Linked DNA regions of Lonchura striata. The protein of the gene in region 4 interacts with the protein of the main gene of each other region in a pairwise test. Links are inferred from orthologs where the notes say so. Each region holds a gene or a part of one and is shown on either strand. Other genes may lie near its edges.

Region 1 (7,892 bases), on a different chromosome or scaffold from region 4:
TTTTAGAATTTAGGCTTAGCCCAAACCAGGTTCTGTCAGTTCACTACAGCTTGAAACTTCCAGGTTTTTGCTGCAGATGGAAACAAAATACCTCATGCTGAGACCTCATCTATACAGGCACAAGGAATTTTAGGGAAGCTCTTAGCACTGCTGATTTTAAGGGCATTGAGCACCACTTACACTTGCATTTGTGTGTTGGAGAACCATATCTTTCTTTACTGTGATAAATATTTTCTTGTTTCAAGGACATGCTAGGGCTTCAATTATTTAATTAGACTGCAGTGATTATACCTAGCTGGTGCCTTAGCAAACTTAACAAAATTCTGTATTTTCTCTCCAGTAACCTGTAGGGATCTGAAGAGTTTCCTAAATCACCCTCAGTTCTGTTAAAAGAGACTATTTTCTGTGGTTAAATTTACGCCTGAAATAGAACCATTGTGAATGCTTCTGAAGAGAAATTTCTGTATTTAAAACCAACAAACATACCTGGCTGCTGCCTCTTTCTTCCCATCTTCTAGTGTTCTCCAATGAATATGATCTCCAAAACCTGCCAGAGAGAGGAGTTTATAAATGCTGCATAATTTAACATGTCAGCTAATAGAGGAAAACAGCCCAACACTCGAGTATTTTCAACTCATTTTATATTCTTTTTTTAAAGACAACTATAGCCCCACTTCTGGAAAGACTTCTGCAAATACTTAAAGCCCACACAGTTGTATGAGGAATCCCACTGAAATTAATTAGCAAAAACATACCATGCTCATGAATATTTCTATATATGTATGTCAATGACACTAAAATCCCCCAAACAGATATTAAAATTGAAGTGCCTTCTGATTATTCTCCGTTCTTTTTCATTCTGTGAACATTTATTATCTGATGAGTGACAAATTAAACATCTCAGCATTTGGCTTCCTAAATCCCACTGAAGGTGAACTAAACTGAAAATTAAAAATTTCAAGGCGAACATATGATCACTAATTGCTCTAAAGCTATTATGCTAAGTATTCCTGCTGATGATAATAGCATGGAAGAGCAAGAAAGAACACCATTATACAGATTTCTGAGTGTTATAGTGACTGAACGATGCAGGAAACGTTTTATCTGACATCCAGATAACAAGTCTTGTTATGTCAATTAACTTAAGAGTGAGTCAGGGTATGTTTAACAGCTGTAAAGCAGTGACTGCCAGGGTTGGGCTTTTTTAGTAGCCAACAGAGCACATAGCCAAATGCCACCTGGGAAGCTTAGATGAAGGAGATCCAGGAACTGTACAAAGAGGAACTCTCTTGGAACACCTCCTCAGCGGTCTTGGTTCCAGTAATTAACAATTACTGTGCTGGATGGCCAAACATGAGCCTTGGTTTGCCCCTTCCCATCCGTAAGTTTCAGATTAGTCAGGAACCCACCATGCCCGAGGTGCCTAGGGGAGATTTTGGGAGCTGCAGAGAGATCAGGAGCCACAGACTGCCCAGTGCAGACATAGGGGAAAGTGGACATTTTCTCCAGTACACAACTAGGGCAAAGAATCTGGAGAAAGCCCAAAACAGTGCCAGCAAATCTTTGGGCCGCCTCTGTTCAGCATCCAGGAGGTGTGGACACAGGCACAGTGTTTGATCTCTGCTGATACAAGCAACTGTGAACCTAAGTGATGCAACACATCAAAGAGATGTGGAGATGCCTCATCCCTGTCCCCTCACACCCACACAGCAAGTGCTGAGGCAGCCCCCGACACAGGACTACATTTGTACGAGCTCAACATCCCAGAGCAAAAACCCAGATGGAATAGCACAAGTCACGTTTACCCAGAATATTGACATGTCAGCTATTTCAGTCGAAGGCCAAAATGTTAAAATAGGAAAAACCTTCTATTGTTCTAGCTGGGAAACACTTTTCAAAAGCTTTTCTGTATTTAAAACAAACCCCACTACGTGGTGAACTACAGTGTGTTTTTAAAAGCATTGCCCAACACATTACAGAGTGCATCTTTTGAATGAAAGTCATTTGGGGAATTAAAGGGTGAATGGCTGGCTGGGATCCACACCACAGCTTTGCTGTCATTGATCAAATTGGTTACAACCAGCCTTGAGGAGGAGATTTACCTCTACGGCAGAGCCACCACTCGGGGAGAAGCCCAGGCCCCGGATGAACCGGGCTATTAGACACGGTAATTAGGCAAGGAGCCCGGGCAAGCCAGGAGCGAGGTGAGAAGCGGGCACGAAGGGCAAGGGGAGCCGCGGGCGGAGGGAAGGGCCATTCACGCCTGCCAGGAGCCCGGCGGGGCTCGGGGCAGGCAGGGGCACGGCGGGGCTGCTCCCCAGAGCCCTCAGAAAGGCTTCGGCCAGAACCCGACCGCAACGGCGGAGACCCCGCGAAGCCCCCCGCGCCTCCACAGCCCGAAGCTGCGCCCTTTGCTCCCGCCCGGCGGCCCCGCGGGCTGAGGGGAACGTGCCGTGCCCCCGCCCGGTGGCCGCGAGTGGGGACAGGAATTGGGGGAAGCCGAAGAAAGCGTTTGTCTGACCCTTTCCGAGCCCTCCCGCGGCGGAGGCGGCGCAGGCCGCCAGCACCAGGCACAGGCAGAGGACGGAGGCTGCCGCGGGCTGAGCCTTCATGGTGTCTGCGCGGAAAGCGGCGGCACGGCCCCGAACCTCCGGACAGGACAGGACCCGCTTAGCTAGACTTTTTTTTTTTTTTTTTTTTTTCTCCTCTTTTTTTTTTTTTTTTTTTTTTTTTTCCTCTTTCCCCGTTTTTAAAGCCCGGGAAGTGATGTGTGGCGGATGTGGGCGGTGCGCCGCTCCGACGGCCCGGCCCCCGGTGCTGGGGGAGGCAGCCGCGGGAGCGGTGTGGGGGGCTCGGCATGGGCTCAGCTCCTTACGGGGTAGGAGTCATCGCACCGGGGCCCCGAGTCCTGGTTACTCCCCCTGGGCAAACCCCAGCGTTATCCCGACGGGAGCAGGCAGCGGTGGGAGGGGAGTGTTTCCGGGTTTATTTTCTCTTTCACAAATAAACGCTTTTGTCGCGCTGCTCTCTGGAGTTGCCTGGCTGTCGGGAAAGCAAATCCGACCGCAAGCGCAGCGTGTGAGGGAGGCTTCCCTGAGAGGGACAGAGCGAGTGGTGACGCGTTTGGAAGCGCCGCGTCCCAGTTTGGGTCACAGGGCACCGCTCCCTGCCCCGAGGCGCGGGTGACTGCCGCTCCCTGGAGACTACAACTCCCAGGAGCCCTTGCTCGCCACACGGCCGCCTCTATGTAAATGAGGTGGGCGGGCCCGCCCATCTGCGGGCGGGCTGGCGCCGTCACGTGGCGCGGCGCTTCCTTTCTCTGTGCGCCTCTCTTTCCTTCCTCGGCCGCCATCTTGTTCTCGCCGCGTGTTGGCCGCGGGCTCCGCCGCGCTCAGGTGAGGGGGCCGCTCTTCCCGCGTCCCGCTGTCTCCGTGTCCCGGGACCGCCGCGTCCCGCTGCCGCCGCGTCCCCGCCGTCCTGAGGCGGGCGGCGCGCCGCGGCAGCTCGGTCCCGTCCCCTTGGGCAGTACTGGGCCGTTCCTCGGGGAGAGGCCGAGCGAGCGATCCCCTTGTGCGGGGGCTGCCCTGGCTCGCGGGGCCGCGGCTCTGCCGTGAGACCGCGGTTACACGGGCTCCTGAGGGATGAGCCGTGTTCCCGTGCTGTGGGGCTGCCCAGCGAGCCACCCCGAGCCCCTTCCCCCGCCGCCCCGCAGGGTCTCCGTGCGCCGATCCCTGCCCCGCTCCCGCTCTGCCCCCGCTCGTTCCCGGCACAAAGCACATGCGGGGATTTCTGGGGATCACTGGTGGCTCGCTGGGGCAGAGCAGCGAAACGCATTCATTTTGGTGGAAGGCTTGAGGCCTTTTTTCACACGTTATGGATTTTCGGGGCTTTTAGCCTTTAAAGGTCCCATCTGACTCGTGGGAGAAGCACTGCACAAAATTCGCGGTCACTGTATTGGATGAAAAGCTGCCAGAAGTTCATGTAGTAAATATGTCCATACACGAAGTTCACAGAGTTTGGATCTCGCTTATTAGTCATAAGTATAATAGATTAATTCCATGAATACTATCCCAGGTAGTTTAGTGGTGACTGTGTCCCTGGACCCTCGTAAAGATGGTGTTTTCCCAGACCCAGTTCTCTGTGCTGGTTTGGGTCTGGTTGGAGCCAGTAATTCAGTTAAATACTTCCAGCAATAAACTGGCATCTTGGAAATGAGTACCTTGGCCTGATGCAGAATGAAACGTCCTGTAGAGTTGCCTCATCTTGGCATAGACGCTTCAGCTAAATGTGTGTCCTTCCTGCTGCAGGACCACTATGGATAGTTTAGGGGGTATAATTTGAAAGCTCTGTTTTTGTGTGTTTGTTTGACACACTGTTTTGGGTGATGTTCTAGAAGTTTGAAAAACCTGCTGCAATCGTAAGAGTGCTCTTAACATGGACTGTGACTTTTTGTTATTACTGTTAAGTTGAACTTGTTCTTGCTCTTTAGACGTAGCACTATGAACCAAGAAAAACTGGCCAAGCTTCAAGCGCAGGTCCGAATAGGAGGAAAGGTAAGAAAACCACCAGAGATGCTTTTGAAAGCATGGACTGAAACTCATAGAAAGAGAAGAAAAAAAGTATTCTCAGGTTTGACTAATACAGGTTTTGTGTGATCTGGCCTGTAGTGCAGCTACCTGAAACACAAGTTTCTTTCAGTTCACAACGGCTGGATGAGCAGTTTCCAGTGTGTAAGCATTGTTCTAATTCAATGACTTGTTGTGACCTGTGAAAGCTCCAGCTAATCTCACCTGTTGGATGTCCCAGTTATGCCTTTATGGTCTTCCTGTTGGGGATTTTCTTCTTTGTGCCTGCTTCAGGCACTGGCTGTGCACTGAGCTGTTTCTTTTCTCTGAGCTAATGGGTGGTTAATATGACTGATAAAAGGGCATGTTGTTTGTTCAGTGTGGGTGCTCATCCCCTTGTAGGAATGATTGTACAGAAGTTTTCAAAGCAGGAATTCCAAAATTGCTGTCTGTGGAACACTCTGAAAGCGTTAATGACTTGGTTGCCAAAGTGGAACTATTTTAATCACTGTATTTGTGCTTTGTTTTGGAAAAAGTATCTTGGGGAAACTTTGTTCTGTATTGCTCAATAATAAGTAGTATTTTTGTAGGCTGGGTGAGTGGAAGGGAAAATGTACTGCTGTTTACTATTTCTTTGGTCTTTATGCTTAAGAAAAAACTTAAAATCGGGAATGGTGGGCAAAGCTGTAGGTAAAGGGAAATAAGTTGAGAATAGTTTTTGTCTACAGAAATGTCTCATAACTTGAAAGATATTGCTCAGACTGTGCCCTGACTTTTGCAATTAGTCTTTGTGAGATTTTGAGGAGAGCTGACTTTTGTCTCGATTCTTCCCAGGGAACAGCTCGCAGAAAGAAGAAGGTGGTACACAGAACAGCTACAGCTGATGACAAAAAACTTCAGAGTTCCCTCAAAAAACTGGCTGTAAATAACATTGCTGGCATTGAAGAGGTATAGTGAAAAAATAAGTGTTTCCTGTTTGAAGTTAAATTCAATCTGCTGTTTTGGTGGTGGTGTGGTGTGGTTTGCCTTTCTTTTTACAACAGTTTTATCTTCCAAGCAAAAGCATAGAGATCTGGTTATTGAGAGGTAATGTTGTTTGATGATTGTTGCCTCATTGACATTAATGTGTATGTGCCTGGAGAAGGAAAGGTGCAGGTTCTGCTGGCCAGGCAATGTGTGGTGGAGGTAGTAAGCTGTGTGCTGTATGTGTGTGTGTGTGTCTTGCATTTATTGCAGAACAAAGCTTCTCTTCATTCTTGACTTTTATGAATTTGATTACTTGCTCTAAAGCAAAGAGCAGTAAATGTACATGGACTGTGCAGGCACATCTAGAGCAAGTGTGGTGCAGAGTATGAAGGAAGGTTTAGAAACACCTTGACTATGAACTTGAGTCTGTATTATCAAAATTAGGACCTTTTACTGCGAAAAATTGCTGGAATTGTTTGTAGTAGTTACAGGAAATGTTTTTTTACAGCAGTGCAGAGTCTCCACAGAGGCAGCTTCTGTGTTAATGTAAGTGGGAATGTGAAGGTTTCAGGTGTTCCTTGAATGCCTCTCATTTACATGTATTAATAAAACATGTTTTCCATAACAGTATAGGGAGTGACCCTCATATATGGGAAGAGAAGTAGTTTTCTCCATCATGAGCTCAGTGTGGCTGCAGTGCTTGTACTCCTTCGTTAAAGAAGTGCAGTATTTGATCTCTGATTAATTAATTGAAGCAGGATTGCAACGTGCATGGAGAAGTGCATTCCTCTCTTCCAAAGGCAAATGCAGATTTGGTGTGGTTTGCCTGTAAGTTTTCAGACCTCTGTTACAGAAACAGTTCAGTGTGTCTGTTTTCTTGAACTTAATACAAATATGCAGAGCTGTATGAACTAAAGTAAGATATGGTTCTTCTTAGTGTATGTTCAGGGTTTTTTTTGTGCACAGAGCACAGGATCTTTATTCAGACAGTTATTAAGGAATTTAAATATCTCAGTGTAGGAAGACGATGCAAAATGTTTCTACCTTGATAGCAAGAGACATAATTGTGGAAGGTTTTATTCAAGTGAACGCAAGTTGACCTTGGTAAGCTTCATGCAGATACAAAAGTAATGTTGAGTCAAGCATGAATAACACATTTGTGTCATTTTGAAAGAGGCTTTTAAGTAACAGGATAACTGTGCTTGAAGCTTTTACCATTTCCCCATGGGCAAAGGACAGGATATTGCTTAGTTTTGCAGGAAAGCGGCACACCTGGATTTCCTGTTCAAAACGTATTTGGAACTCTGCTGCTGTGTAAGGATTGAGGACTTAGATGTTTTTGTATTTTAGATGTCGTTTTTAGTTCTGAATCCCTCTTTTCTCCCTGTAACTTAAAAACATTGCTTAATATTTTTTTCATGTAAGTTTAATACCACTATTGTGTTGGATGGGTAGAAGTCTCTTCCTATGGTCAGACAATTATTTTTTGCATAATAGTTTATCCATGCCCAGAAGAAAAAGCTTTTCAGCTTTCTAAAGCAGCCACTACACTGACTGTAAGGTAGAACTCTTGGTGATTCAGAAGACCAGGGAAGAAGAGGAGAGCAGGATCACTGTGTGGTGTCCTTAGTCTTAAGAGCCCTCATGGAATTATTGGGAAGGTATTGGAAGTCTATTCTAGTGCAGTGGGTACATAATCCCCCAGTGCTGCATGTGCATCCCTGCCTTGAGCCAGTGTGAGTCCTGTGCCTCTTGTCAGCTGGGAAGAAGCAGGAATGTTTTCCTGGTAGGTGACACAGGTACCTGTGAAAGGCAGTGGCTTAACCTGATGTGGCAAGGTGCTGCTGTTGGAGCTTTGAATTTAGATGGTGTTAATTCCAGGTGCTTTTATCGTATTATCCTTTAGGAGGAGTTCTAGTTCTGTAATTTTTGATTTTTCAAATCTAGATTTTAGTTGCAATGCTTGTGTAACAAGATGCTGCAACACTTAGGTAAGGTAAATGTTATTAATATATTTAAACAGGTGAACATGATAAAAGATGATGGAACAGTTATTCACTTCAACAACCCCAAGGTTCAAGCTTCCCTCTCTGCCAACACTTTTGCAATTACTGGTCATGCAGAAGCTAAACCGATCACAGAAATGCTTCCAGGCATCTTAAGCCAGCTTGGTGCTGACAGCTTAACAAGTCTCAGGAAGTTAGCTGAACAATTCCCAAGACAAGGTAGGTCTTTTTGGAATATTTCATAGCTGACTTAAAGGACATGTGAACTACTGAAAGTTTTAACCCAAATTTAACAAAAGCATGTGACTTAAAAAGTCAGAAGTGTGTGTGTGCTTTTATTTGCCACAGTTTTGGA
Region 2 (8,017 bases), on a different chromosome or scaffold from region 4:
CAGGAATTTAGTTCAAGGGATATCAAGCCAGGGTTTAGACGGTGTTTGACCTACTTTGTGACTGCTGTGGCATCACAAGGAGCACTGCTGGGGGACACAGGCTCTGCAAGGCAGGGAACCGAGGGAGAACCAACAGCCCCTTTCACAGCTGAGCAGCTGGTGGTGGATTTGGAGAGGGGAGGCTGTGCTCAGGCCCCCCTGAACAAGAGGCTCCAAATACTGCCTCAAAATTTGCAGTTCCTCCTCAATCCCACTGCCAGCCAGGGTGAAGGTGTAAGCAAGTGGATACAACCTGATCCAAGGCAGCCACCACCTCCCTGGCAAAGCATTCCTTTACAGAACTCACACACGTGGGACTTTGCCATCAGCCCGACCCAAGTGACAGAAAGCTTCAAGGACTCTGTTTTACCTCCAGTATCTCCTTGTGAGGCAAAGGAAGCTGCTTGGGAGCTGGGGCTCTGCATTGCCAGGCTCAGGGGCTGCTGCCTGCCCTGCCCTGGGCACAGGGCTCATGCAGGGGCCCCACACACTCACATTCCAGGGCTGCTGTCTACAAAGAGGGAAAGGTCAGGCTTAGTCCCACATGTGCCACCTCTGATCTGACCTGCAGCTGGAAATAAAGGTGTGGCAGCAGCTCCCCTGTGAGAGGAGACCACCAAACCATGGTGAGACCCACTGGCTGCCTCTGCTGGCAGAACTCCATAGGCCACAGCTGGGTTTTTATACAAAAACATTTATCCTCACAGGTTTAGGTGAGGAGCCGAGGAGGTGGTGAGACAGGAGCTGTCCCTGAGAAATCATCTCTGATGCCCCAAGGGCTGGAGCCCCTCTACTCTGGAGCCAGGCTGGGAGAGCTGGGAGTGCTCACCTGGAGAGGAGAAGCTCCAGGGAGAGCTCAGAGCCCTGCCAGGGCCTAAAGGGGCTCCAGGAGAGCTGGAGAGGGACTGGGGACAAGGGATGGAGGGACAGGACACAGGGAATGGCTCCCACTGCCAGAGGGCAGGGCTGGATGGGATATTGGGAAGGAATTGTTCCCTGGCAGGGTGGGCAGGCCCTGGCACAGGGTGCCCAGAGCAGCTGTGGCTGCCCCTGGATCCCTGGCAGTGCCCAAGGCCGGGTTGGACGGGGTTTGGAGCAGCCTGGGACAGTGGGAGGTGCCCCTGTCCATGGCAGAGGGTAGAATGAGATGGGCTTCGAGATCTCTTCCAACTCAAACCACTCTGGGATTCTATGAAATACTCCAGACAGAACAGGAGAGACCAAGCTAGTGCAGCTGCATGTGTGCAGGAGTTTTGGATGTGATCCCAGCATCAGCACAGAGGAGACTCCTCTGCTGTGCACCTACAGGACAGGAAGGATTGGGAGCAGCACACAGGTGACAGAATCAGAGCCCACAAGAAGGGCTCCAGGCTGTGGACATCCCTCAGGGCACTGAACAGCAACCAGTGTCCTGCTGCCCTCCTGGCTCACCTCCAGAGCACCAGCACCCAGCTCCTCACTGGCACTGCCTATTCCAGCCTGTCCTTCTCTGGCCTTGGATGGGACTGGATGGACTGGAATTTCTCAGAGAAGAAGCCCAGGCTGTCCAAACAGGTATAAATAAAATGCTGTAGCGCTGCACTGAAGTGAGAACTAACATAAACCTCTGCTTCAAAGTGCAAGTGTTTCCCTGGGCTGTGGACCCTGAGTGTTTCTTTCCAGGAAATCTTTCATAGACTCGATGAGAATGGAAAAGCCAAATGCAAGGAAAGGCAAGGTTTGAGCTGCTCCCTCTGAGGAAGCATCACCTGTCCTGGGGTTAGAGATACATCCCTGGAGACCTTCTGTTGTACTCAGCTACTCCCAGTTTTCAGAGCACCCCTCTCTGTATCAGAGCTTTGCTTCAGGGTGGAGCAATGGCACTTTGCAATGGGTCCTCATCTGTTCCATGTTCCCTTGCTGTGGAGCACTTTGTGTAGCTCTGGCTCTGACATCTGTACCCCCTGTGTCCAGAAAAAGGTGCTTCAGGAAATATTCTGGCTCTACCAACCCCTCTTTATCCTGAGAAGTGAAATATTTCCAGCAGGATCAGTAGTCCAGGATGAAAGTAGACAGGTCTGCACCTGTGCAGAGCCCACTCTGTGAGAAGCACCAACACTCCAGGCTGTGCCAGTGCTATGCTGGTGAAAAACCACAGCTGAACTGAAATGTGAAAATCCTCCCCAAACAAGCAAAAAGGTGCAAAAAGAGCCTGAGAAGGAAGGCAGTGCCAACTGCAGAAGTTGCTGAGTGTGATGAAAGGAGACAAAAAGCCTTTGTCTGCACTGCACAGTGTTGGATGGCCACCTTATCTGCACCTACATGCTCTGGGGTCTCTTACATAACTACAGGATCTGCAATGTTCTATCCAGCAGGAGCAAAAATAGAGCTCTGCCTCCGCCTGAAATTCCTGCAGTGGGGGCGAGCAGGGGAACAGCCCCTCCCAGCCTCCCCTGCCACTCTGGGGTCCTCCACACTGAACCTTCCCACTGAAATTAGAAGGTGTTTGGTGCCAGAAGGTACCTGGCCATTCAGGCTCCCTGTGAAGGGTTCAAAAAGTGATCACTGGGCTTTCCAAACAAGGCAGCAAATTTGTTCAGCCCTTCCAGATGTGCAGCTGCTGCCTGTGGCACCATTCCATGCACACATCTGGGATGGGAATGCTGAGCACCCAAGTGAAAGCTCTGCAGGAAGGATCTGTAGTCTCTTTCTTGCTTACTGCAGCTTCCTGTGCTCACCCTAGCTACACACCTGCCTAAAACTGTGCCTAAAAGACTGGCTCAGGAACAATCTGCCTGGGAATCAGGCCCAGCTCCATTTCCTAAGCCACCTGGAAAACAGTAATCCACATTTCTGGGAATCCTAGAGAGGGAAGTCAAAGACTTCTCCCCACAGCACAGCATTATCAGAGAAGATGAGAAGGGCTCACCCAAGCAGAGAGTGTTTGACATGTTTCTCCTCCAAATTCTGCTGCAGGGAACTGCCTGAGGCTCCAAAGAACATTTACAGTCCAAGGAAATGAAAACCTTCACCCAAGTGCCTGCACCAGGATCTTTGAGAAGACCTGTGGAGAATGACAGAACAGCCCTGGTATGAGAAAATGAGGTGTTTCATCAGCATTGAGAAACAACAGAAATAAAACAAGTGTGAAATGAGGGATGTTGCCTGTGTGGAAGTCTGGCTGCCTGCAGCACACATGAGTGCTGGCTGGGCTGGGGACTGAGCTGCTGACTTCATCACTGACACCTCTGCAGGAACCTTGAAAAGGGTCCTAGAATAAATCTTAGTAAATTGACAGAAACATCACTATTTTTGAACTAGCCTTCTGTGAAGGAAGACTGAGATCAGCCATCTGGCTGGAGTTAGGAAGCTGAGTTTTCACCACCACACTCCTTCAGCCCCACTGCCACTCCTGTGTGGAAGAGGTTTTACAGTGACTTTGGTAAGCCAGAGAGAAGTTTGATTAGAGGATCCATGTTTACCCCTGCAAGAATTTCCTACCAAGGTCATTGACACAGAAACCACCAAAGAAAGAAGGATAAATAAGAGAAACCTGCAACTTACTATTCCAATGAGCACTTTGTTTGTCTTTCCTGACCAATGAGTAAAGTGTAAACTTTTGAGTCTTGTGAGGATGTATAAAAATCATGCATACTAAAATAAAAACGGGTTTTGAAGCCTTCTGAAAATGGAGTGTTGCTTTGTATTGTCTCAATTACGATGCTCCCACACCAGGACACACACAGGTTGGACACACACAGCTGTCACCGGCAGCACATGGAGAATGTGGTTCATTAGTGGCTCTGTGAGCAGCTAAATGAGAGCTGACAGCATCTCTTAGGCACCTTCCTCAGAGTCCTCTGCAACCTTTCCAGACCTGTGAGAGCTGTTTCCCTGCACTTGATAATCCAGATGGGATTTGTTTGAGATGTTCCAACAAAATAGCCCGGCAGTCCCTAAGAAAACGAGGGGAGGGCTGACAACGCTGCTTGTGCACCTGGAAATCGCAGCCTTGTTCCAGGGCAGCCCCGGCGGGCCGGGACGGCCCCGGGCTGCGGGGGGCTAGGAGCTGCTCCGCGCTGCCTGCGCTCCCTCTGCCGGCACCAGGGCTCCGGGAGCAGCCTCTGGGAACATCCCCTGGCACCGCCCTCGCCTCCCGAGCAGTGCCCGCGGCTCCGCAGCGGGCAGAGGTCATGCACAGAGGATGTTCCACCGCCACCGAAACAACCAGCGCAGCGCGACTCTGTGGAGCGGACGGGCTCAGCTTTCCTCGGGCAAAGCCACGCTCTGGGCCTCCAGGCTGCAGCCACTAATTGTTTATGAGTACAAACGCAGGAATAATTTACTCAAAACGATGTTGGATAAAGCAGCTGGATCCCTGCTGTTTGGAGACGGACCCCTGCGTGTCCCAGCCAAGAGCTGAACCGAGGAGAAGGAGCAGAACAGCGTCTCTGAACATGAGAAGCGGGATGGAAACAGACCCAGCACCAGCCCTCCACAGGGCAGCTGGGCGCAGGTATTTCATGGGCTGGTGTTTCCAGAGGCTGCTTTTGGAGGGAGCTGAACTAAGAGGTGAATTCCTGAGAGCGATGGAGCCCTGGAGCGCAGTCCATGCCCTTCCCAAGCCCCTGAGGCTGAGGTGGCGTTAAGAGCCGGGCTTACAGCCCAGAACGAAGGCAGCAGCGTGTGCCCCGCACGGAGGAGCTCCCCAGCCCGGCGGGGCTGCAGCTCTGCCCGGGGCAGCGCAGGGCTCCCCTTCCTGGGCTCGGTACCGCAGCTGCCCCGTGACCGGACTGCTCCAGCCACGGCCAGCGTGCAGGGACAGCGCAGGGAGAAGCCTGATAAGCAGCCGGGAGGCTGTGGCCGGGCCGGCGGCGCAGGGGGGCTCCGAGGCGGCAGGGAGGCCGCACACCCCGCCCCGGCGGAGCGCGGCCGCCCGCGGCCATGGGAACGCCGTCCCGCTGTCCCGTGTCGCGGCGCGATGTTCCGCGGGGGCGGTGACAGCGCGGGGCAGCACGGCCCCTTTCAGAGCCGCCATGATCTGCCTGGTGCTGGGGCTCTTCGCCGGCCTCTTCCACGGTGGTACGGGACGGGACGGGACCCCCGGGCCGGCTCTGAGGGATCCCCCTTGTGCCTGAGGGCCTCCCTTCCCCGGAGAGACCCCGCGGCTGAAGGGCCGGGCCGGGCCGGGCCCCCGTGCCCTCCGCGGCCGGACCGCCCTGCGCTCCCTGCGGGAGCCTGGGCCCGCCCTGAGCCCCGCCACCCCCGTGCCGCTCGCCTGCAGGCCCGGGGGCGTCCCCTTCCCCGCTCAGAGCTCTGCCCTGTCCCTGCAGCCTTCGGCGGGGTCCATGAACGAACCTTCGTGGCCATCAAGCCGGACGGGGTCCAGCGGCGCCTGGTCGGGGAGATCATCCGGCGCTTCGAGAGGAAGGGGCTGCAGCTGGTGGGGATGAAGCTGCTGCAGGTGAGCGGCTGGGCCCGCCCAGGCTGGGGGGCCCTGCAGTCGGGGAGCCCCTGCAGCCCCCCGAGCCTCGGCTGCGCTGCTAACTGCTGGGGGTTCTGCCTGTCATCCGGCCCCTGCAACCTGCTGCTGTCATTCCAGCGGCAAATCCCCGCAGCTCAGGGGAGAGCTGGCACTGGGAGGGGCGATTCCAGCTGTGGGGAGCATGTCTGCCCTTGCTGTGCTGTACTCCAGGGCTGTCACTGTAAGCTGGCAGCTGGAAACTCCTCTCTGTGTCAGGCTCCTGCTGTTTCACTCCCGGAACTGAGCATCTGTGCAAGAGCTTCATTCTCTCCATTTCCTGCATCCCTGAGGTGCAGCCCTTGCCCAGATGCCCCGTGTGGGAGCAGACTAAGCTCTGTGCTCTGTGCAGGCCTCGGAGGAGCTGCTGAAGGAACACTACATCTCCCTGCGGGACCGTCCCTTCTACGGCCGCCTGGTGAAGTACATGAGCTCCGGGCCCATCGTGGCCATGGTGAGTGCTGGCCGGGGCCCTGGGCCAAGGAACAGGGACAAAGTGCGAGGTGTGAGCAGCAGTGCCTGTTAGCACAGTGGAAGTAATGTGATATCCCCCCTCAGAGGGTCTCTTGAAGCTGTACTGAACTGCAGAGATGTTTTCTGTTGTAAATTAAATCATAGAACAGTTTGGGTTGGAAGGGACCTTAAAGGTCTCGTTCCACCCCTGCCATGGCAGGGGCACCTTCCACTAGACCAAGGTTGCTCTAAGCCCCATCCAGCCTGGCCTTGAGCACTTCCAGGGATAGGGAGAAATCCACAGACCATTTGGATTATTTTCCAAAATCAACTTTGTAAGAATAATTCGGAGAGCCCCTTTGCTGTCAGCCACGTGGATCTGGTGGGGAATTCAGAGGGCAGATGTGACCTGCTGGGGCAGCTGTGGAAGTTGATCCTGGTTTTGCTCTCCTGTAGGTCTGGCAGGGCCTGGATGTGGTGAAGACAGTTCGCACCATGATCGGGGAGACCAATCCAGCTGAATCCAAGCCTGGCACCATCCGAGGAGACTTCTGTGTTGAAGTCAGCAAGTGAGAGCTTTGACTTCTTCTTCCTTCAGTGTTTCAGGGCATCCTGTCCAGGCCTGCCTGAGCCACATGAGTCTGCATTCCCAGAGCAGAAGTTCTCCCTTTTGTGCTCAGACCAGAGCTGAGCTCTGCTTTCCAGGGTTGGCTTTAATAGGAAGAAGAGCCTGGGTTGTGTCTTTCCTTCCTCCTGAGTCCTCTGTTGAAAGCAGGAGGGCTTTGCCTGTTTTCCTCTGGTAATTGGGACTGTCAGGCTGTGAATAGGAATGGGAGCTCCCACTCAGTCCTTTCGTGGGAGCAGGTGAATATGCACGGGTGGTGACCTTGGGTGGCCCCAGCCTGGCTTGTGGTAGACACAGCTCTTACTGAACCATCCTGGCTTAGATCTGTTTCCTGGTGCCTGATACAAAACCTGCTTTGATGGAAGGGGGAAAATCTGAAGGCACAGATGGAATCACTGACATAAAAAATGTACATCCCAGAGCTACAGCCACTTGCAGCTCCTCCTGTAGCAAACAGAAGGTTCCTCAGCATAGGAGGGGCAAGTGCTGGGAACTGGCACTGCTGGAAGGATGAATGGTGTGGGATAGGAGGGGATATTGTGGGACAGGACTGGCTCCATTGCTTTACTAAAATTGGTCAAGGAGGAATTTTGCAGGTTGCAGCATCCCTCTCCCACCTTTCTCCCTCTCTCCTTGCCCACAGGAACGTGATCCATGGCAGTGACTCGGTGGAGAGTGCCCAGCAGGAGATCTCGCTCTGGTTCCGCCCCGAGGAGCTGCCGTGCTGGGAGGACACGGCTGCACACTGGATCTACGAGTGAGCAGCAATCCCAAGGGAAGTTATCTTCCTGCTGGGACACAGCACACTTCCATCCATTTCATGGCAGCTGCTGGAGCTGGCTGCAGATCCTCTGTGGGATTCCTCTTGTGTCTGTGGGATCCTGGCAGCTGGGCTGTGTGTGGAACTCTGGTTCAGCTCCTGCCAAGGGGAGCTCTTCCTTTTTTTCTCTCTTTGCTCTAGTAATTAGTTGGTATTTTTGCTTTGTTTGCTGCAGCATCTTAAATCCCAGGTAGCTCAAGCTGATTAATTGTAGCAAAACTTGGGCTCTTGGCCCATTCCTGGGTGTTCTCATCCCTGCCTGGAGCAGGAGAATGCGTTTTCCTTGCTGCTGGGAGAGCTGCTGGTCACGAGGTGATGGGCTTGGCAATTTACCTGCATTTCCAGAAGGCTTTTCACCAAAGGCTCTTAAAGAATTGGGCTGCTGTAGGAGAAGGGAGCAAATTCTCATTTTGGAGTTTATTCCAAGACAAGGAATGCAGGATGGGACAATTCTCTCTCCCTTGGTGGGAGTCCTGTGTGTTGGGACTGGCAAAAGCTCACCCAGTTTCAGACGTATTGAGTGAGTCCGTGGAAGGAAGATTCTCCAAATGCTGCTAACACACAATTCCTCAGGCTCTGC
Region 3 (7,063 bases), on a different chromosome or scaffold from region 4:
TTGTGACATCCTGAAAGAGCTGTGTACACCCATGTTTACCCACTGCTGGAAGCAGAAAGTGAGCATGAATATGTTCATTTCAGCTCACTTGTAGATTTTTCCACTCAGTTTTTGTCCTTAGCATAATACAACTTAATAATTAAAGCATTATCAGTTCAGAGAGCTGCTTATTTTCCCCCCTTCAGTATGCATGAGCAGGCTAACAGGCATAATAGCAAACAATTTCCCCAAACATTTCTGACTTCATGCCTGAGTACATTTGAGCATTGATTTCACAAATGATTAGTTCAACAGCTGATTAGACAGTCCCACCCTCTGGATCTGAGTTGGCCCTGAGTCAAAGCCAATATATTGCTTCATTTTCTGTCACAGAAAAGGCATTAACACTGTACATAAATGTATATATCCATTTTAAAAATAAAAGCAAAAGCAAACAAACAACCAAACAGCACCTAATTTTTCTATTTCTGTAGCAAATAAGTGAAATTAAGACTTTCTTTTCCAGCAGAGACTGGTTATCAACAGCGTTTGTTTGATCAGCACATGAGAAACTGTCCTTTCCAAGGGATGGGGGAAGGGAGAGTAAGTCTATAATCATCTGCCAAGCACCTCCCACTCACAAAGACCAGCAACTCACCCTCCTTTGCTGCACACAATTTGGATTGTTACAGCCTTTGCAAGAGCTGTCAGCATCCCACTAAAATCAAAATGTGTGCAGCCAGGCAAAGTTTAGTTTAGCATTCGACAAGGATGTTGCTCAATTGGATATTTCCTTTGCAGAAATAACATTGGCTCCTCTCTACATATTTTGTGTGCATTTGCCTCTAGGTCAATTTTTACTTCTAATTTACTAGTAGATGGTATTTGAAATCCTTGCCAAACAGATTTGGGAATTATTTCTTTTACAAGCTATGAGTTCGGGTCGTAAATCTTGTCATTAAATATACTGTGCTATCCAAGGTAAGAGGATTCCTCGCCAGTCTTTCAGACTTTAATTCCAAATTTGTTTAAAAACAAAACATTTTAGCCCATCTTTAGGAAATATCATAACCATTCTCTCCTGTGCCTCGCAAAGGACAATATACTAAAACAGTTCTTTTTTTTTCAGATCGATAACTGTGAAGCCAGTCTAGATGGAGAGCATATTTTCTCCTCTATTAGAACCTAACAAACAGGAAAATCATCTTTTAGCCAACAAATGAAGATGAAGAAGCTTCTCTTTACAAAATGAGGCAATCATTATCAAAATTTAACACATACAAAGGCAATAGAGACTGAAAAAAGTTCCCTAAAAAACAGACACAGAAAATATCTCCTTTCTGGGATGTTTCCATGGTAGCAGTAATTTTCTCTCTCATTCTCCTGGCAGTTGTTTCTGATGTGACTCTAATGTTTCCAGTGAAATTTAGCTATGAAAACTCATAGGTTATTCCTATAGACATCTCCCTGCCCTGACAGCCTTAGGTGAAACCTAACAGCAGCTTTTCACAGGGAAAATAAATATATCATGCACTGTTCCTCCCATTTCTTTTTTGCAATAAATAACATACCTGCAGTAAATTTGCCTTGTTTAAAAGCATCTCTAACCCTTTACCCTGTGGAAGGGACTGAAAAAACAAACAAAACAGCAACGAAGGGTAAAAGCCCAAAGCCACGGCAGTTCTAGTGAATAAAAGGAATGTTTGCATGTGGATCTGTCTGGGAAGTGACTCAGAGGCTGTTTGCATCCGAGGGAACCCTCCGCCCATCCACAGAAGTGCCATGTCGGTGACCCGGCACGGCTGAGTGCCACTGCTCCGGCCGGTGCTGAGAGCCCATGGATACAACATATATCTATTTATACATACACACACACATTGTTATATGTATGCAGTATATATAGTGATAGGAGCACATTTTACAATGATGTGTTCTCTTGCAAACCCCAGCCCCGGCATCACCGCTCTTGGTGCGACTTCACTGCTCTCGGTGCTGGATCCCCCTGCGCAGCCCTGGGGCTCCATGCTCCCTACATCCCAATCCACAGCCCTGTATACCCACATCCAAATCTACAGCCCTACATCCCAATCTACAGCCCTACAGCCCTATATCCCTACAGCCCTATAATCCCTACATCCCAATCTACAGCCCTACAGCCCTACATCCCAATCTACATCCCTACATCCCAATCTACAGCCCTACAGCCCTATAATCCCTACATCCCAACCTACATCCCTACAGCCCTATATCCCTATATCCCAATCTACATCCCTACAGCCCTATATCCCTATATCCCAATCTACATCCCTACATCCCTGTATCCCTACATCCCAATCTACATCCCTACAACCCTATATCCCTGTATCTCCGTCTACATCCCTACAGCCCTATATCCCTATATCCCAATCTACATCCCTACAGTCCTACATCCCTACAACCCTATATCCCTGTATCTCAGTCTACATCCCTACAGCCCTGTATCCCTACATCCCAATCTACATCCCTACAACCCAACATCCCTACAACCCTATATCCCTGTATCTCAGTCTACATCCCTACAGCCCTATATCCCTATATCCCAATATACATCCCTACAGCCCTGTATCCCTACATCCCAATCTACATCCCTACAGCCCTGTGTCCCTACATCCCAATCTACATCCCTACAACCCTATATCCCTGTATCTCAGTCTACATCCCTACAGCCCTATATCCCTATATCCCAATCTACATCCCTACAACCCTACATCCCTGTATCTCAGTCTACATCCCTACAGCCCTATATCCCTATATCCCAATCTACAGCCCTACAGTCCTATATCCCTATATCCCAATCTACATCCCTACAGCCCTGTATCTCTACATCCCGATCTACATCCCTACAGCCCTGTATCCCTAATCCCGATCTACATCCCTGCAGCCGCCGGCGCTCCAGCCCTACCTGCGCTGCTGCCGCCGCTCCGCCGCCTTCAGCACCCGGACAGCGCCGCTTATACCGCCCCGGCCGCGCGTCACGGCCCCGCCCGGCCCCGCCCGGCCCGGCCCCGCCCGGGCGGAGCGACCCCGGGCCCGCACGGAGCGGGCACACACCCGGCACGTAAAACCGGCAGCGGGAAAAGCGGGGGGAAGGAGAAAAAAGGAGAAAGTAAAAAAAAAAAAAAAAAAATACAGAGGGGGAAAAAAGCCACGAGGAAAAACAAGGAGAGAAAAGCAAGGCAAGGAAGAAAGAAGGGGGAAAGGGGAAAGAGGTTTAAAAAGAAAAAAGAAAGAAAAAGGAAAGGAAAAGGCAGATGTGATGCTGCTTCTTAGGCTGGGAGGAAGGACTCGACAAGCCCGAGCGACACCTCGGGGGCGGGCGCAGGCCGCAGCAGCAGCGGGGCACGGCCGGGGCCGGAGCGGGAGCGCGGCGGGGACGCGCGGGGCCGGAGCGGGGTGCGAGCCCGGCCGTGAGGATGACTCTGCACCCAGGGTCAGCGTGCCCGTGCCTGCCTGTGCCCGTGCCTTTCAGCAGCGGTGGCCAGCTGGGCTTTTTAATTTTTCTCTTTAGGTCATTGACTGAGCTATTGTGGCACATTTCTGGCTTTGTCACAGGGCAGGCAGGGTTCATGGCATCTGTGGCCTTGTCATCAGGTGTAGGAGGCCCTGGAGCTCTGGACCAACTAGAGATCAGTGCTCCTGAGGGGAGAAGGACACCCCTCCGTTGTTTGTCTGAGGAAGATGGAAAAACTGAAGCACACTGGGGAAATACAAGGCAGAAGGTTCCTCCTGCTCCTGCAGCCCCATGCCAGCCTGTGTGCCCTGGCTGTGGATGGGACAGGGGCCAGGCTGGTGCTCCTCTGGATGGGGAGGGAGCCAGAGAGGGGCTGCCCATCCCTGGGGCACTGCCAGGCACTGCTGAAAAGGCCCTCATGGTTTTATCTCCCTTCTCAGCACTCAAAAAGGGCAGCACTTGCACGCCTGGATCAGTGAGGTGAGTAAATACCACTATGCCATAAATCACAAAACACAAGATGTAACACATGGCTTCAGCTGATGCTCAGAGTTTTAGCTTGTCCCTTCTGCTTCCTTCCTATTACAGAAAGGTTGTTTTGCTTTGGCTTTTAAATAAGTATTCCTTTTCCCCCAAAATAAATCTTTCCTGACAATTCTGACCTTTTACCGCACAAAAAGCAAAAAAACCTAGGATGAATGTACCTTCCAAGCCAAGAAACATAACAAAATTAAATTATTGTAAGAACAGTAAGCTAGAAATAATTGTAGCCATGAACAGACAACAAGAAAATCCTAGCTGCATTTGCTGATACAGTTTCAGTTTTTGTGCTGAAAATCTTCAGCAGCAGCTTTATTCTGGCCCCAAATTCCATCCAATACATGCACTTCCATTGCCAGGCCCGGGAAGTAAAGAGCCCAAAAAATATTGCATTAGGGCCCATGATAGCAGCTCTGAGGAAGGGAAAGAGAAAGGCATTGCTGCAGTAGCAGAGGGCAAGGTCCAAGTGCCCTCTGAGCAGCTGGGAACTGTATTGCTCAACACCACATCCCCTTCAGCAGGGTCCTGAATGCCCACAAAACACAGCACTGCAGACACTGCTGTCACTGAGACACCTCAGTCCAGGGACAGAATACTCAGTGTAATCAAAACCAACAAACAAAATAATAACAGAAAACACCCAGAAGAAAATTACTCAATTCAGACTTTCAGGAATTTTCCTGTGCTTCTGCAAGAGTTTCCAACAGGCTCTTGTGTATTCTGTCACCAAATGACTAATACTTATGGAGCAAATTCTTTCCCATGAAATCATGCTGTTGAACCCCATCCATCTATCCCTGATCTTCTGCATTAGAGCACATTTCAGACAATCCAAATTATTCGGCACATGAGCAAGATTGCATCCTCCTTAACCACTCACCTCAGGTTTACAGCATATAAAGTCAGCCAGACACTTGGCTTTGGTCTCTGCTGTGGCTATTCTGGGTTCAGTGGATAAAATTTTCCAAAGGCTCTCTACAATCCATCTGTCAATTTTACTCCATATCAAAAAGTTGCCTGGACTTTGTGCTTACGATTGATTGCATCCACCCAGCCCTATAAGGAGGGCCTTACTGAATTTTTTTTTTTTTTTTTGGTCATATTGAATGTACAGCATTCTTTTCCTTAGAATGAGTCATGCAACTGAAAATTGGATCTGTTCTGTCATCAGAAGTTCCATGGCATTTTATACAAGAGTAAGATCACATCACAGCATCTCTCAGCTTTAGGAAATTACATTAGAATTAGCTCAATAGCAACTGCTTAAGCAAAGGAGATGGGTAATCTTGTTTTTCTGAGTGAATTTTGACCATGTGCATCCTTTTGTGCATTCTGGGAACAGCCCAGCTCTACCCACAGTGATTTTTCTGAACAGCTTGCTTGTCACATGCTCTACCTTACCCATCATGAGAAGATAAAGGTTAATCAATCAACCCTGCACCTTGCAGCAAAAGCCTTTTATTTAATTTCATTTCATGCTAGAAAGAGGGCACGGGGTTGGGAGGGGAACTTCACTGCAGCAAACAGAGGCTGGAGGGTCCCTGCACTCTCTGTTTTGTCATACCCCAGCTCGAATATCATCATCCCTACAGTCAGTGGGAAAAGAAAAGCCAGAAAACTTGTCTTGAGGAGGAAGCATGCTGTGGCAAAGGGCCTTGGGGTCACTGTGCTTGTGCCCAGGACACAGCAGCAGCAGGGGGTGAGGGTGGCCAGAACCACAGCAGTTCATGGACCATGGGCTGCACCACACCTGCCCAGCTCCCAGCAGAGGCTGGAATGATGATCTGGCTGGGATCACCAGCCCAGGGGGGCAGCACATTTGTCTGGCTGCTCTGGCCCTTTTCTAAACACCAGAATGGTTTGCAGCTCTGCAGCTCTGGCTCTCTCCTCCTCTAATTGGTGCCACCAAGATCAGCACTGCTTAAAAATAAAGCAGGGTTGTGTCAATATTGATTATTTCCTTCCCTTCTTCTGTTTCTAGTAGCAACTAAAAATAATTTACAATTCATTACAGACATGACATCTCCTGCAGAATAAATGCCATTGTCACATTTAAAATTCAGTCCATATCTGACTTGAATATCTTCATTTACTCTGAATATAATGAGAAAGAGGAGGTTTTCTTTCCTCATAAAAGGCTCATCTGCCATCATAGATACAGATTCTTTTAAATTATTTTAATTTTAAAATACTTGAGTTCTGCCTGTATCCAACATCAGACTTGTCATTTTCTGCTCATTTTGCATGCTTGAAAGATCAGTCATATTTGTATGCAAATATTTTTGGCCTGCCTAAATTTAGTGCACAATAAATGGCTCAAATTTCATTTCCAAAGCCATAAGGGGAGGGATAAGTACAGCATTGTAAGGAAAAATAAGGGGTTTGCAGTTTTTAACCACAGTCCTTTAAAAGCAGGGATGTCAAGGCAAGCACTGGCTGTAGATCACTGGGCTTTATTCAACACTGCAATGAGATTAAGCAGGTTTAACACCAGCCTGCCCTACACACCTCCCTGAGGGGACATTTCAAGAACAGGAAAAGCTAAGGAAAAGCCAAACCCAAAATCTGGACTTTTAACCAACATTTACAAGTTCAGGATTTCAGGCTGCCTGCTTATAAAAAAAAAAATTAAACTGAAGAGGAGCCTTAGGCAAGGCTTGTCTGCCACCCCTGCACACGGGGCTGTGCCCCAGTGCTGGCCAAGGGCATCATCACTCCACTCCCTCTGCAGCCTGCCCCAGGGCTGAGGCTCAGCTCTGCCTCCTGCTTAGCATCCTTCCCCAGGCTCTGGCACCCCTCCAGTGCCTCTGGAGTTCTCCAGGGGCTGCAGGAGGAGCCCAGCCCGCTGCCTCGCTGCTGCTACCTGCCCAGTGACCTACACTTACCATGGGATGCCTGAAACTTGGGGTAATCAGGCTCCACCCCATAGGAGAAACCCCCATGGGATCTATCAGCTCAGCCAGTGCCAGAGGGGCAGAGAAGCCCGGGCTGGAAGGAGCTGCATAAGCAGCAGATGAATCAACAGGGAAAGAGTTTACTGCTATACTTGTTCCA
Region 4 (6,893 bases):
TAGCAGTACCTGAAATGACCGTAAAGAAATAAACAGCTCAATTCTTTAAGTTCTAATGTTAGCTATAAAAATATACTGAGGGAGTTTCTTTTGCCTTTTTTTGTTGTTGTTTTGTTTTGTTTTCCTTTCAGCCTACAAGCTACTGGCCCACTTATCTCAACTGTACAAACCACTTGCTGATCCCAGATGCACTTGAACAGATGTGCAACTCGCCTGGTATTTGAGATTAACCTATTCTCAAGGCTGGTTCTAGAAACATTGCATCTATTGTTTATACTTATTATAATCAACAGCTCATTTTTGCAGTTTAAGAGAAAAAGCCAGTATTAGTCATTCTATGGGGACAGCGCATTTTTTTGTGCTGTTACACTGCCTGAGACTTCAATCCAATGGTCAACCCAGCAGGGAAATCTTACTTCACAAGAATTAAGTCATAACCGCACATCTAATATTTTAACAGCAGTGCCAAGAGAGAAAACACAGTTTAAGGTATCTGTAGACAACAGAGACATCTGAAGTAGTATCCTCTGTTAATTTTCTAAACTTGTATGACTGCTTTCAGTAAAAATTCATGTGCTTGATAGGTTGTACAACCATTTCAGTTTATGACAACTGTTTATTTGAAAACCTGGCAGATCCGCCAGTATTCAAATCTGAAACAAACTTGTTAAAGTCAAATGTATTACAAGATTCACAGCTAAAGTAAATCTCTTTATTAATTCCAAAGGACCCAGCTAATGGCTGATTGCTTTACAGGACAAACACAATCCTCAGGTTATATTAAGTTTATGAATCTCTCTTTTAAAATATCCTAACAAAACAAAAGCCCCAAAACTGCAAAGACTTTTACAAAAACTGCATTGCTGCTGTTCACAAATATATGGAGAACAGAGAAGTGGAAAGCACCCTTTTCAGACTGAGATTGCTGGGAAAGCAGTGGAAAACACTAAAAAGCAAACACAGTCTTTTTACTTTTGGGAGAAATGCCTAGATCAAGCTTGCAGAGAGAATAGCTCACTGCACACAACACTGCAGCTGCCAAAAGACAAGAGGACAAGAAAGCAGCTTCAGTGCATTGGCAGCTGAGAAAACCTCAATGAAACTCAGGTCTGGGACACTTCTAGCCCAAACACTGATGTACAAAAAAAAAAAAAAAAAACCAACATTGCAAAACAAAACTGAATGTAGATTAGACACAAGGACAAAAAAAACCTCAAAGAAATATTAGCATTTTCTCTATTCACAGCAACTAGATGAAACAAAAGTCTGACAGTCTAGTTGAATAGCTATCACTACATTTGAAATTTCGGAGATTTTACTTAATCTTTTGTATCCTCTTCTATTAACCAATCAGTGTCCTTCAGCTCACACTTAAAGAATGATGTCAAGTTCTGTATCTAGATATAAGTGACGCTTTCAGACATGTTATCTTTTTTTATGAAGTCTGCAATACCAAAGTCACACAAAAAAATGTGGAATAGCACAAAGTTGACACAGTTAGAGCCATTTCAAGGTGAAAACTGGGAAATCCTATGGAAAACAAAAGAAGTTCTGAATCTAGCAACACCTACATTCTTTGTAAGCAGGAGTCTCTGCATTTTTACATTTTGATAGCAGCTTTGCTATGATTTGTTGCTTTCTAATTTAAGTAAATGAATTTTTAGTCAATACTTGCACAGCAAACCTACTAAAAGAGTTGAAAAAATAGAAGACTTGCACGAAACAGTGTGGATGAATCAGCAGGTGTCACTAGTTTGAGACAAAGGCAGCTGGAGCATAGACTTTCACAGGAAGGCACAAAAGCCCTAATAAATTGGTTATCTGACATAACCATGCCATGCTAAGTACTATATCTGTAACTAGCACATCAGAGTATGGGAGACTGAAGATTTTGCAAACACAGTACAAGGCTACAACTTCCCAAAGTTCAAGGCCTACTCACTGTCTTTAAAGACAGTGTTAGATCAAAATAAACACTGGAAATACAGAGATACAAGTAACTGTGTATGTTTTCTACAGTCATGTTAGCCAGACAGTGAGACAACTACCACCAAAGCCAGTCAGCTGAACAGGACAACTCACAGCTAGAAAATGAGAGAAGAGAAGGCTTTGGGGTGGCCTAATTGTGGCCTTCCAACACCTGAAGGGAACTTACAGGAAGGATGAGGCAAGCCTGTTTGCAAGAACATGTGCTGACAGGACAAGGGGCAATAGCTTCAAAGAGAAAGAGAGTAGGTTTAGATTAGCTATTACGAAAAAATTCTTTACTGTGGGGGTGGTGAGGCACTGGAACAGGCTGACCAGAGAAGCTGTGGATGGCCCATCCCTGGAAGTATTCCAACCCAGGCTGAATGGTGCTTTGAGCAACCTAGTCTATCTGAAAGTGTCCCTGCCTACGACAGGGGAACTGGAAGATTTTTGATGTTTCCTTCCAACCCCCACGTTTCTACGACTCAACGAGTTGACGAATGAGCTACATCCAGCTTCCGAACCGGCCCTCTGCAGTGTAACAGAGAAGCGGGAGAGGAGGGTGCGAGGCGGCACATTTCTCCACTGCCCCCGCCCTCCTCAGAAGGCAGCAGTCCCTTCCCGGGCGAGCAGAAGCTGCTTTGTCACTGGGCAGGGCCCGGGCCCCGCGCAGCCGAGCCGGGAGCCGCGGGCCGGCGCTGCCAGCCGGGCGGCGCTCCGCCCGGCCCGGCCCCAGCGCGCCCCGCCGGCTCCGCAGCCCGCCGCGCCGCCCCTCACCTGCCGGATGCTGCTGGCCTCGGAAACGGCGAACTCCTCCTTCTCCTTGGGAGTCTTCACCGTGACTTTGATGATCCGCGGCTCGGAGTCACCGGCCGAGTCGCGGGTGGGCGAGCCAGGGGGGCCCCCCGCGGGCCCGTCCGCTGTGTCCGACATCGCCGTGTCCCGGTGGGGCGGGGCGGGGCGGGGCAGCGCGCTCGGCTCCCGGCTCCGGCGGCTGCAACCGAGCGCTCGCGACGCGCCCGCGACACCGGAAACGGCTGGGCCCGGCCGCCGCGCGCCGTGATGACGCACGCACCGGGGAAGGTACTGGAAGGGGCGGCGCGCGACTCCCAGCGGAGCGCTCCCGCCGCCGCCTGGGCTCGGGATGTGCCGGCCGCCGCCTGGGCTCGGGATGTGCCGGCCGCCGCCTGGGCTCGGGATGTGCCGGCCGCCGCCGCCTGGGCTCGGGATGTGCCGGCCGCCGCCTCGGCTCCGGGATGTGCCGGCCGCCGCCGCCTCGGCTCCGGGATGTGCCGGCCGCCGCCTGGGCTCCGGGATGTGCCGGCCGCCGCCTCGGCTCCGGGCTGTGCCGGCCGCCGCCTGGGCTCGGGATGTGCCGGCCGCCGCCTGGGCTCGGGGATGTGCCGGCCGCCGCCTCGGCTCCGGGATGTGCCGGCCGCCGCCGCCTGGGCTCCGGGATGTGCCGGCCGCCGCCTCGGCTCCGGGCTGTGCCGGCCGCCGCCTGGGCTCGGGATGTGCCGGCCGCCGCCTGGGCTCGGGGATGTGCCGGCCGCCGCCTGGGCTCCGGGATGTGCCGGCCGCCGCCTGGGCTCCGGGCTGTGCCGGCCGCCGCCTGGGCTCGGGATGTGCCGGCCGCCGCCGCCTGGGCTCCGGGCTGTGCCGGCCGCCGCCTCGGCTCCGGGCTGTGCCGGCCTCCACGGACAGCACTCTGGGAGGACACTGCAGCGCCACGTCCACTTCTGGGCTCCTCGGTACAAGAGAGACAAGGAGCTACTGGAGAGGGTCCAGTGGGACTCACAAGGACAATTTGGGGCTTGAAACATCTCTCGTATGAGAAGGGACTGCAGGAGGTGGGCCTGTTTAGTCTGGAGAAGCCTGAGAGGGGATTCATCAATATATGTGAATATCTCAAAGGTGGATACAAAGAGTGTGAAAAATGCATATTACATGATTGGCTCTTCGCAAATATTAAAATGAATACTATAGGTGTTATGTTGGAAAGTTATGCTGTATTAATCTCTTTTAAGTAATGTGGTAAATATAGTTTTAGGCAATAGCATATTAAAATAGAAATGTGATGTAAGATTCTTTTTACAAGTAGCTCAAGGAATGGATAATTAAGAAATTCTTTGCATAGGGATAACAGCAACAAGACACTAAAATTCCAAGAGAATAATTACTGCCTCCTTATTGGGAAGACGCAGACTCCAAGGGACCAACATGACTAATTTACAAGACGAAGGTGGGAGTAAGCAGAAGAAATCCTTCTAAGCAGAAGAAATCCTTTGTTTGAATTTTTAAATCATGTATGAGATTATGAATACGCAACAGGCTATTGCTTTTAAGGGGTAATCCTTATTTAGCAAGGTGTGCTTTGTGGCAGAGTGCAAGGCACCCAGACATCCATAATTCTTTGCTTTTTATTGTCCAAATACTTACTGCTCTAATTTTTGCTACTATTTTAATAGCTATTTTATTCCTGTTAAACTTATCAACTAAACAAGTGACTGGCGTTTTTCACAAAGAGATAGTGCCAGCCTCTTTTCAGGGGTGCCCAGTAACATGACGAGGAGCAATGGGCATAAACTCAAAGACAGGAAATTCCACTTCAGCATGGGGAAGAACTTTACAGTTAGCATGACAGAGCACTGGAACAGGCTGCCCAGGAAGGTCATGGATTCTCTCTCTCTTGAGGCATTCAAAACCTGTCTGGACATGTTCCTGTGTAACCTGCTCTAGCTGACCTTCCCTTGGCAGAAGGCTTAGCCTGGATGGTGATCTCCAGAGGTCCATGCAGAAGGTCACCAGTTTCCCAACTAGGGTCTGGGAGTGCAGGTGCTGGCCGTGCAGCTGTGGTTTGCTGGAGCTCCAATCCATGAGACATGAGGTGTCACAGAGGCCTGTAGTGAGATGCAGGGGTTTGGTGTCGGAAGATGCAAGAAGAGTAACTTGGCATAGTTTGTGAATGTACATCAATGAAATAATTCAGTACCTTTTGCCTTTAAGTTACTTGGCCCCAGCTAAAGAAGAATACATCCTAGACATTTACTACTTTAAAGGTATTGCTAAGTGTTGCCGTGCGAGACCGGCTCTGGGCAGGTGCCTGCGGGAGCATGGCGGGAGGGAGAGACGGCGCCGCTTTTCCCCTTTTGCTCTGCGAGGCTCAGTTCTAGTGTGGGAACAGACGGAAGGATGACACGGGGCTCGGGGGCAGACACGTGTTTATTGTGGGAGTGTGTCCCCGAGACCACGGACACTGACCCAGGGGTCGGTTATACCCCAGGGTGGGGGAACCTGAGCCACAGCCAATAGGGACAGGGCAGGAGACAGGGTGAGCCCTGGAGACCCCGGAGCCCTGGAGACCCCAGGGAAGTAGGAGCAGTGATGGGAAAGGAGGGGAGGGGGGGGGGACAGGGACCGGACCGCGTGGTGAGGGGGAGTGATAAGGGAATGCAGGGTCGGGACAAAGGACCGCGGGGGAGCGGGGAGGGGTGGGCTGGGTCACAGGACAAAGGGGGAACATGTGGGAAGGGGAGAGGGGGAATGGGAGGGGAAGAAGAGAAAATTACAAACCCCGCAGCTCAGTCTTTTGAATTTACATAAAGGAAAGGGAGTTCTGAGGTAAAAACAAATTAGCAACGTTACAAATTACTGAGAAAATGTAAGTAGAGAGACATCAGAAAGTGATACACCAATCAATGAATGGAGCAAAAATTTTTTCCACATTACAATTTAAGACAAAGTACAAAATTATCATAAACACATTCTGTATCGAGGATGAAAGCAGGATTCATGATGCGATGCTTGTGGTTTTTCGCATACTAGCAGAGCAGAAACAGGCACCAAACAGCAACGTGGTTTCTCCAATTTGATTATTTGATTGCGAAGTTGGCATACCATTGTGGGCAGTAATTAGAGAGGATGATCTTTCCTTCTATAAGATATATCTCAATCCAAGGAGTTATTTCCAAATTATCACAAGCAATGGGGAAAACTTGCATTGAAATAATAAGGGAACTTTGGGCAAGGTACATTTAGATGGGATAGAGGGGAGAACCTGGGCGTCACTGTTTCAGGGGAAAGAGAAACAGTGGAGCTCTGGTCCGGGTTTCCAGCTCCACTCCCTTTGAACCCCCCCCCTTTCCCACAGCAAAGGGGCAAGCTCTCTTACAAAGGGAGGTCCTCTAACAGAGGGACCCCTCTGGTGATCCCTCCCATCAGAGGGGGGCCAGAAGAAGAACTGAGGGATTAATCCAACCTCACCTCCCCCCAATAGGGGCTGGCCCACTGCAGGATGGTGCAGGGCCATTCGGGGAGGGGTTGGGCCAGCGGGAAAACTTGGGGTGGAAGAGAAGGGTCAAGGTGGGAAAATGGGATCCCTGTAGCATGGCCAGCGCCATCTTGGGAGGGGGTGCTGGGTGCACTGCATCTCACCCGGGGAGGCACGGCCAGTGCCGCCCCTAAGGGAGGATAACAGTGTCCGGCAGGGCGCTTGGGGCGGCTCGGCTGCTGCCATCCCCAAGGGAGAAGGTTTGGGGAAGTCTGTGGGGAAAAGGGAAGGGGAAGCTTCACAGAAGCTGAAGGGGAATACTACAGGAGAGGGGCCCGACGTGGCTGGAAGCTGATGAAATGCATGGATGTGTAGGGCCTCCCTTAGGATGTTAACAATTCTCCCATAGCTGACGTGTCGTCGCTTACAATTCTGTACCATTGGTGTCCTTTCGATCCCCTCACCCCCAAAGCCCAGAATAGGGAGGAGAGGGTAGAAAAGGTAGCTTTCCGAGAAAGAGAAGGAGCTTTCCAGTATGAATTACTCCAAAAAGACTGAGTGAGGTGGCGTCCTCCTTGGAAAAGAAAAAGCCTCCCGACCGCCAGGGACATGCAAGGCTACAGCCCCCGTCTGGGCACAGAGAGGCGATGGTAAA

The links.
Region 1: the proteins of UBQLN1 (region 4) and TXNDC12 interact in binary tests that used the Homo sapiens proteins (3 or more experiments, as listed by UniProt). The two-hybrid records come from large-scale screens. The link is inferred for Lonchura striata from reciprocal best matches to the Homo sapiens genes UBQLN1 and TXNDC12.
Region 2: the proteins of UBQLN1 (region 4) and NME3 interact in binary tests that used the Homo sapiens proteins (3 or more experiments, as listed by UniProt). The two-hybrid records come from large-scale screens. The link is inferred for Lonchura striata from reciprocal best matches to the Homo sapiens genes UBQLN1 and NME3.
Region 3: the proteins of UBQLN1 (region 4) and SCG2 interact in binary tests that used the Homo sapiens proteins (3 or more experiments, as listed by UniProt). The two-hybrid records come from large-scale screens. The link is inferred for Lonchura striata from reciprocal best matches to the Homo sapiens genes UBQLN1 and SCG2.

What each region holds. Positions count from the first base shown.
Region 1 is NC_134611.1:9,911,195-9,919,086, reverse strand, and holds the start of TXNDC12 (thioredoxin domain-containing protein 12), read right to left. Parts: upstream 3,004-7,892; 5' UTR 2,613-3,003; coding exon 2,522-2,612; intron 2,205-2,521; exon of another isoform or gene 2,086-2,204; intron 548-2,085; coding exon 487-547; intron 1-486. Other genes in the region: BTF3L4 (transcription factor BTF3 homolog 4), read left to right, coding at 4,500-4,553, 5,400-5,513, 7,555-7,756. UniProt on the Homo sapiens protein: Protein-disulfide reductase of the endoplasmic reticulum that promotes disulfide bond formation in client proteins through its thiol-disulfide oxidase activity.
Region 2 is NC_134618.1:3,027,427-3,035,443, reverse strand, and holds the start of NME3 (nucleoside diphosphate kinase 3), read left to right. Parts: upstream 1-5,015; 5' UTR 5,016-5,054; coding exon 5,055-5,100; intron 5,101-5,351; coding exon 5,352-5,482; intron 5,483-5,891; coding exon 5,892-5,993; intron 5,994-6,448; coding exon 6,449-6,561; intron 6,562-7,260; coding exon 7,261-7,378; 3' UTR 7,379-8,017. UniProt on the Homo sapiens protein: Catalyzes the phosphorylation of ribonucleosides and deoxyribonucleoside diphosphates, other than ATP, into the corresponding triphosphates with ATP as the major phosphate donor.
Region 3 is NC_134612.1:9,379,969-9,387,031, forward strand, and holds the start of SCG2 (secretogranin-2), read right to left. Parts: upstream 3,019-7,063; 5' UTR 2,921-3,018; intron 1-2,920. UniProt on the Homo sapiens protein: Neuroendocrine protein of the granin family that regulates the biogenesis of secretory granules.
Region 4 is NC_134642.1:26,244,899-26,251,791, forward strand, and holds the start of UBQLN1 (ubiquilin-1), read right to left. Parts: upstream 3,009-6,893; 5' UTR 2,902-3,008; coding exon 2,746-2,901; intron 1-2,745. UniProt on the Homo sapiens protein: Plays an important role in the regulation of different protein degradation mechanisms and pathways including ubiquitin-proteasome system (UPS), autophagy and endoplasmic reticulum-associated protein degradation (ERAD) pathway.